Cricetulus griseus: one gene and its partner. The protein of the gene in region 1 interacts with the protein of each later gene in a biochemical or structural test. Links are inferred from orthologs where the notes say so. Each region holds a gene or a part of one and is shown on either strand. Other genes may lie near its edges.

Region 1 (3,814 bases):
CTCTAGAGTCTTATTCAAGATCATCCCGCACTACACGGAGTTGTTCCGTGGGACTCTTCCCATCTCTGACACCTCCTCAGAATTTCATGATCTTTTGTGACCCGTCAGCCCCTCAGCTAATTGCTTTGTTAAATGAAATACCATCACTGTTCTTTAGTGATGGAGTGACGAGTGTGTGCTTAAACTCCTCCCAGCATATTTAGCTTTTGCTTACTTGCCTTGCTTTGATATGTTAAAATAATGCAGTTTAATCTCTCAGAATAGCAACTCATTTAAATAATGATGTGCTAACTGGAATTTATGGTTGACATAATTATGTTCATGTCTGTCCCAATGGAACAGAGAAGTTTTTCATTGGCTGTCCAAAGTTACTTGACTTTGTTTAAATGTGGGTTATTGTTTTTGTTTTTGTTTTTTTTAAATCAGTAATTTACCAGTCTCTATTGCAGTTTGTCTTTTACCTTTTTTGAAAAAGACTCTCTTTTCCATTGTGTGGTCTGTGCACTGAATACAGTGTACGGAGGCCGGAAGACAGCATCAGATCCCCCTGGAACTGGAGTTGCAGATGGTTCTGAGCCTTTGAACATGAGTGCTGAGAGCCAAACTCAGGTCCTCTGCAGGAACAGTGTATCACAGTAACTGCTAAGCCATCTCACCAGCCCAGACACGCCTTGAAAGTGTGGACCTCTTGCTCTGTATGCTCTGCATGCTAGGATTGTGCCACTGTGCCTATGGATAAGCATTCACTAAGACAAAATTCACATTCTAAATTTCATTTTATGACTTACCTTATGTAGTTATTGTGTGGGGGCATAGGCGTTTGGGCACATGTGACATGTTACATGTGCTCAGAGGATAACTTTGGAGAGTCAGTTCTTTCTGTCTGTGAGGGATGGGATCAAACACAGGTTATCCAGTTACAAGTGCCTTAATTCACCAAGCAAGCCACATCAGTAACCCTTAATTTGCTTTTCTTTGCTTAACATGTTTCAAGGATCTTAAATATATCTCACATTATGATTTTAATGCCCACATATATCCCATTTTTAAGATAGATGTATTGTAATTTCCTATTATGGACACAGGATGTTTATGATGTGATTTATTTATATTTTACTTTTGCATGATTTTTGTTAAAATATCTTATCCCAAGGCAATTCTATAGCGTTTGGACAGTGTAGGTGTTTTCAAGGAACTTATGAGATGTGATTTCAGTTGGAAAATGAAATTGCAGTAATTTGGCATGCAATGAGTCTGACCACAAGAGGGCAGTAGAGCATAATAAAATATTTTTGATTTCCTTCTTAAAGGAAATCTTAAGTCTGCAAAACTAACCAGAAAATTATTATCTGCAAATTTTTTAATGTGATATTTTCTCCCTCAACTTCATAAAGTCTATGTTTCCCCTTTTGTTTAGAGTGTGCCAGGGTACCCTGTTCTTTGTGTCTGAAAAAGGTGTGGTTCTCTTGAGTTACCTTAGGTGGCACTCTGACATCTAAATTAAACAATTTTTATCTTTATGAGAGAATTTGTAAGTATAACTTCTGCAGTCATTAAAGCCTTTAGAATGTTTTTAGACTTTTGTGTACCTGTGACAAGACATCAAACTCATTCCATACATCCTAGGCTGAGGGGCTATCTGCCGCCATACGCTTCCCCCGGGTAAATACATACATCTTATATCCACTTACCAGGGGCTGTGAGCCAGTGCTCAACGTCAGCTACATCCCTGGAGCTGGTGGGATCTGCGTCAGATACATGCATGGTGTTTCCTTTCATCAACTAAGTTACTTTAGTTGGATTAAAAGTTAATGAATCGGAATTCCGTGGGCTGACTGCAGATAGACTAGACTAGCATACGTTTAGTTAGTTTGGGAAGTTTATTACTGACCATGAATGGAGAGCAGACAAAATAGGTAAGTCAGTCATACCCTTCTCACTGGAAAAACCAGCCTAGTGCGTGCTGTCCAACTTTATGGAACAGCTGTGTGTCAGTTCACTTAGGTCCAGGGGGCATCTGTCCTTTTTATACTTAACCCCGCTGTTTTCCTCACAGATTTGTATTTGTTTGACACAGGCAAAGCTAAAACCAAGGAAAATCGCCAGTCAATCATCAATCCTGACTGGAACTTTGAGAAAATGGGAATCGGCGGTCTGGATAAGGAGTTTTCAGATATTTTCCGACGAGCATTTGCTTCTCGGGTGTTCCCTCCGGAGATTGTGGAGCAGATGGGTGAGTTTCTGACCCAAGGCTGGTGCTCCTGAGGAAGCACACAGCTGACAGACGCTTGCCAAAGTAGTTCTGAAATGATTTTTCAAATCCACCTGAGTAATACTGATTTTAACTTCTTTAAAAAAACAAAAAACAAAAAAAAAAAAAACTTGTTTCATGAAAAAACTTCAAAATATTTACTCTTATGGGGGAAATAATAGAAATAATACAGTTGTTCCATTTTATTTGTTTAGTTTAGTGTTTTTCTGTGGGCAGTTTTAGAAACAGTACCTCATTCTGAAGACCTACTGTGGGTCAGACTTACCTGTCCAACTGTCACTATCCATCCCTGTGGACATTGCACGGACGCTGGCTGCTTTCCGTGTAGTTCTACCTTATGGCCCCATCAGCACTTCCTCGAGTCTAGTAAATGGATACTTGGCAAGGTTTTTAATTAGATAAGTCTGATCCCCAAAGACAAATGCAGGAGACATATGGGAGTTTCCGTACCGCATGTGAAGAAATACTCGTTATCTTCATTTGTCACTTTTCTCCTGAAGGTTTATTTAATTTATCAGTGTGAAGTGATTTTCTTTGCCCAGTGGAAATACTGTCAGAACTGTTTTCATATCCGTATCATTCGCTGGGTTGGAATGTGAACAGCCGAGTATCTGAGAAAGGAATTCATAATAGCTTCTTGCAGACCAAGTGTGAAAACAGGATCCAAAAAGGTGGAGGAATACAAACGCACTGCTTCCCTCTCCTTCAGTCCTTCTCTTTACACTGCTACCGGGAGATAATAGTATATTCATGGTGGGTGAGAGCCGCTTTCCGGGCGCTGAGCTCTGGGCTGCATTAGCTGTCTGGCTCGGCTGCTTTTCTGCCTGGTTGCTCACTCTGGTAAATTACAAGCATAGCACACACCTGTTCACTGGGTAAAGGTCGAGTTTAGAATTGGATTAAGTCAAAATGACAGAGACCCTCATCACCTGAGTTTTCTACACCTTGAAATGGCAGTGACATACTTCTTATCTGGAAGATACAAAGGCCAAATCCATTTTTTTTTTTTTTTTTTTTTAAAGCCACTAGCTTGGAAAGTTGGAAGAAATGTGGCATTCACTGTCCCTTAAAGTGTATTTTGAGGACCGGTAAATCCTTAAGGTGTTTTGATCAAGACATGAAAATGTTATTTAAATATATTTTAGGTAAAAATGGAGTTCTCGGGATAGTTCTAAATGTTGCATTAGTCTTTGGACTATTTTTACCGTGTTCGTGACTGAGGGCTGGGAGAGGGTTCAGTGTCTTTGATGGTTTGTGGGGTCTAGCCAACAAGGAGGAGAGCAGCTGCTCCTGGAGGGTGCTGTACCGTGAGTGTGTTACTATAAATGTCTTCCCACTACTGAGGAACCAGTTGTTCAGGCATTGGTGTCCCGTGTGTGCCGGCCCTCCGACTGAGGCTGTGGTGTTAGTGCATCGGGGGGCAAGCCCTGCCAGTCCATTTGTGACTCTGCCACCTCTCAGTTGAAGTTAAATCAAGCAGGATTGGCGGTTACCCTTGAATCTGATCAGTATGATGTGTTTTAGATGAAATGAGCAGGAGGC
Region 2 (3,814 bases), on another chromosome or scaffold:
CAGAGATGGCTGCAGGAAAGAGGCAGGCTTCCCAGGCAGGGGGTGGGGAAGGTGACAGAAGAGCCCATCCCACACACCAGGCCCACACGGCTAGGCCGTCACACACACAACCCCTGTGAGGACCTTGGGGGGTTAAGTGACAGTGGGAAAACACACACTGGGGAAACTAGTGGGTGGGTGGGTGTGGCGGGGGGGGAGGGAGGAGGGGCTCGGGTTGGACCTGTGCTCGTAACTCATGGGTGAGGGCTGGGGATATGGCTCAGTGGCAGCTCTTGCACAGTACCCATGAGGTCTCGGGTTCCGTGCCCACCACAAATACTAAAAACAGCAAACTGTTTCACCTCCCCCAAATGCAAAGCTGCCAGCTGTACTCAGGCAGACATCATGTAGCCCCAGGGGTCTGATCCGGAAGCACCCGAGGATTGATATCCAACACCCAGTTTGCAGACCCTTCCACCAACCACTGCCCTCCCTATCCCTGACCTCTCTTGCCAGGAAGCATTGAAAATCGGAGCCAGAGTCAAAGCCAAGCCACCAGGAATCCCAGGGCCTGGCAGGAACTGTGCCTTGGCCTCAGCAGCATCCACGTGACAACTGAATGGGACAGTCAGGATTTACAGCAACCCACGAAGGGGAAGAGGCCACCAAGGAGCCAGCCAGCAGCTGGGAACTCACAAAAGCATCCAGGCCTATGCAGGGACACCAGGGCGAGTAACACCAATGCCAAATTAGTTCCCATCCTAACCAAAGGGCAAGGGCCAAGTGGAGAAACTGTCCTCTAACGCTGAGAAGTGACTTGGCCTGGTTATAAACGGTGGCAGCCTGTGAAGGCGTCCTGGCTGGCGTGGGCTCACCTTGGCGTTGAGCATGTCGATGCAGAAGTGGCAGAGAGCCGCCTTGAAGAAGTAGTCTTTGGCGCTGTACTTGAGGAGGGGACTGTCCATGGCGCTGGTCCCTACCTACAGTCACACACCACCATGAGCTCAGGCAGGACTCAAGAGTGAAGGTCACTGCAGCACTGATGTCTGCTAGGAGCTAAGCCTGTATCCTAGGGGAAGGCCTGGGGACCTCAGGATGACAGGGATCAGGGGCAGCTCAGCAAGGTCACCAAGTGTTGCCAGAATGACCAGGACACCATGAGGGTGTGGGTGGAGTAGGGGAAGCCAGGTGTCTGTGGGCCTCACTGGCAGCAAGTCAGTGGGGGAGGAGGCACCACTGCCAGCCATACAGGAAATTGGCACTTGGTGGGCAGAGGGTGGCAGCTGTGGGAGTATGAGAAGCAGTGCCCGCCCCTCTCCCAGGACCAGCTGCCTGCCTATCTTCTGGCCACAGCCTGGCCCTCCCCACAGCACGGTGTCACTGGGGCGGATGACACCTGCTGCTAACCAAGGACCAGAGTCCCTGCTCTGTTCTGCTTCTCCCTCCTGCCCCACTTCTGCTGAGGACACCCAGCTCTGGGGCAGCTCCTGTTAGAAGCGAGTGGCAGGACCCGTCTAGGACAAGGTGGTGACATGCACAGGCTGTGGGTGAAGAAGCACTTGGTGAGGGTGAGGACTGAGTGGGGCAGGCAGAGGGGGTGTGGTGGCAGGCGCTGACAGCCAGGCGAAGCCCACCTGCTCATAGATGTCGATGGCCTTCTGGTACTGCTCCAGCTGTGCGGCGTAGCCAGCCACCTTCAGCAGACACTTGTTGGCTGAGCTGTGGGGAGGAGGAGCATGAAGGGACAGTGGCGGGTCCCACAAGGAGGGGCAGGCTAGGGAGGGGCTACCTGTTGGACTCTTCGCCTTTGTAGTAGTCTGCAGACTGCTCATAGTGGGCGATGGCCTGAGGAGACATGAGGATGGGGCAAGTGGAGTGCAGGACAGCGTGGAGCAACACCTTAGCACAGCTTCCCTGCCTTCCGCAAGCGCACGGCAGGAGCCCTCCTCCCCCTGAGCATCACGGTGGCCGGGACCGGGAGCACCAGAGGCCCCAGCACAGCCAGCCTGACCCCAGCTCACCTTCTCCACGTCCACCAGTTCTGTCTCATAGATCTCAGCGATGGAGATGTGGTGCTTGGCTGCAATCGTGAATCTGCCCTGGGGACACAGGAAAGGATGCCCAGGACCAGTCTCCTCACCCCCAGCACCCTGGGGTGTCCACCTCAGGAAAGGATGCCTAGGACCAGTCTCACCCCCAGCACCCTGGGGTGTCCACCTCAGGAAAGGGTGCCTAGGACCAGTCTCACCCCCAGCACCCTGGCGTTTCCACCTCAGGAAGGGGTCGGTGGACGGTCATGAACTGACAGGAGCAGTGGCCTAGTGTGGCCTACTACCCAGCAGCTGTCTCTCAGGACAGTACCCTAGAACCCGGGGGTGGGGGAGGGAGGGCGGGAGGCAAGAGGAAGCACCTGCGTGGGCACTGTAGTAACGAGGGGATGGACAAGGGGGCAGAGGCACCATGTGAGGGGTGCTGTGTGCTACAGCAGACACCCATCCTGCAGCCCAGCTCAGCCACCAACTTCCCTGCCTCCCACAGCACAGCACAGCACAGCACAGCACAGCACAGCACAGCACAGCACAGCACAGCACAGCACAGCACAGCACAGCACAGACAGGACAGGACCAGCAAGCAACCCTTACCATGTCTGTATAGATCTCGATTGCTCTCATCAGACAGTTAATGGCCTCTAGGGAGGAAAGAGAAGATGAGGATGGAGAGGTCATTACAGCAGATCCTGGAGACAGGAGGTAGCCTGTGCTCCCCAAGGGAGATGCCAGACACGCAGCTGCCTTGGCTTCAGGCCTCTTGGGCTCTCTCAGAGCAACCGGAAGGAGAGGATGGGAGCCCTAGGCCCCAGGCAACCTGAGCCATACTTCCAGCTTTCCAGTGGGATCAGGGCACAATGGCATCGCCAGACTCCCCCAGAGTTTGAATCAGACTACCACAGCCCTGCTGTCAAAGGGCAAACTGATGGATGGCCAGGCTGAACTGGGCAGAGGCTACCAAGCCCACCATCTGTCCTGGAGGCTCTACCTTGAGTAGGTCCTATCCTTGTGACTGCCCTGCCTGGCCTCTCTGGCAGAGAAGGATGGATGCCACGAGCACTAGGGCCCCTCCATGGGGGCTCTGCATCCCCAGTGCTGAAGAGCACTGTCCTTTCCTCAATGCCCTCAACCACACAGCAGGGACCCTGCTGGCTGCTCAAATAACAAGCTGTATCCAACACTAGGATGGCACCAGGCTACCTTTGTTGTACCATCTCTTCCAAGATTTTAAATTTGGGGAAGGCTTTTTTTTTGGACAAGTTATTTGGAGGAGAGAGGCGTGAGTGGGAGGCATTTTCTAGCAGATGGAAACGAGCTCTCAGTATCTTTTAACTACTTTAATGTATCTCAGGATGGGGGTTGGGGGAGGCACGGGGTTGAGGGTCCAGGTGGGCCAGAGGGCTTGTGCTGGGAAGGCTCCAGGACTGCCCCCGGGCTGAGAGTGGACTGGACTCTCTTGGGATGAGGATGCTAAGGCTACTTCTTGAGGAGACTTCGGTAGCCAAGGTCTGTTGGCATAGGCTCTATTGGTGGGACAGTCCCTGCCACGGCAGTGGGGGAGAAACATGGATTCACAGGGCCTAGTCCTCTTATGCTGGCCCCTTGCTCTGGGAACAGCTTGGAAAGTAGTAGGCTGCCAGCTGACACCCGGGCCTGCTCTTACCACAGGGCTTATCTGATGCCACAGGCCTCAGTGAAACCTTGAAGGTAAATAGTAGGGCCCTTGGTCTATTCCCACCCTCTTGTGCTCAGCCTGTCCAGAGCAGGTAGGGAGTTACAGAGCCCGG

The links.
Region 2: the proteins of Nsf (region 1) and Napa form a complex in vitro, tested with the Homo sapiens proteins (2 studies listed by BioGRID). The link is inferred for Cricetulus griseus from reciprocal best matches to the Homo sapiens genes NSF and NAPA.

The regions. Positions count from the first base shown.
Region 1 is NC_048600.1:116,949,268-116,953,081, reverse strand, and holds part of Nsf (vesicle-fusing ATPase), read left to right. Parts: intron 1-2,077; coding exon 2,078-2,233; intron 2,234-3,814.
Region 2 is NC_048602.1:10,775,489-10,779,302, reverse strand, and holds part of Napa (alpha-soluble NSF attachment protein), read right to left. Parts: intron 2,669-3,814; coding exon 2,622-2,668; intron 2,079-2,621; coding exon 2,001-2,078; intron 1,825-2,000; coding exon 1,769-1,824; intron 1,699-1,768; coding exon 1,614-1,698; intron 960-1,613; coding exon 855-959; intron 1-854. UniProt on the Homo sapiens protein: Required for vesicular transport between the endoplasmic reticulum and the Golgi apparatus. Together with GNA12 promotes CDH5 localization to plasma membrane.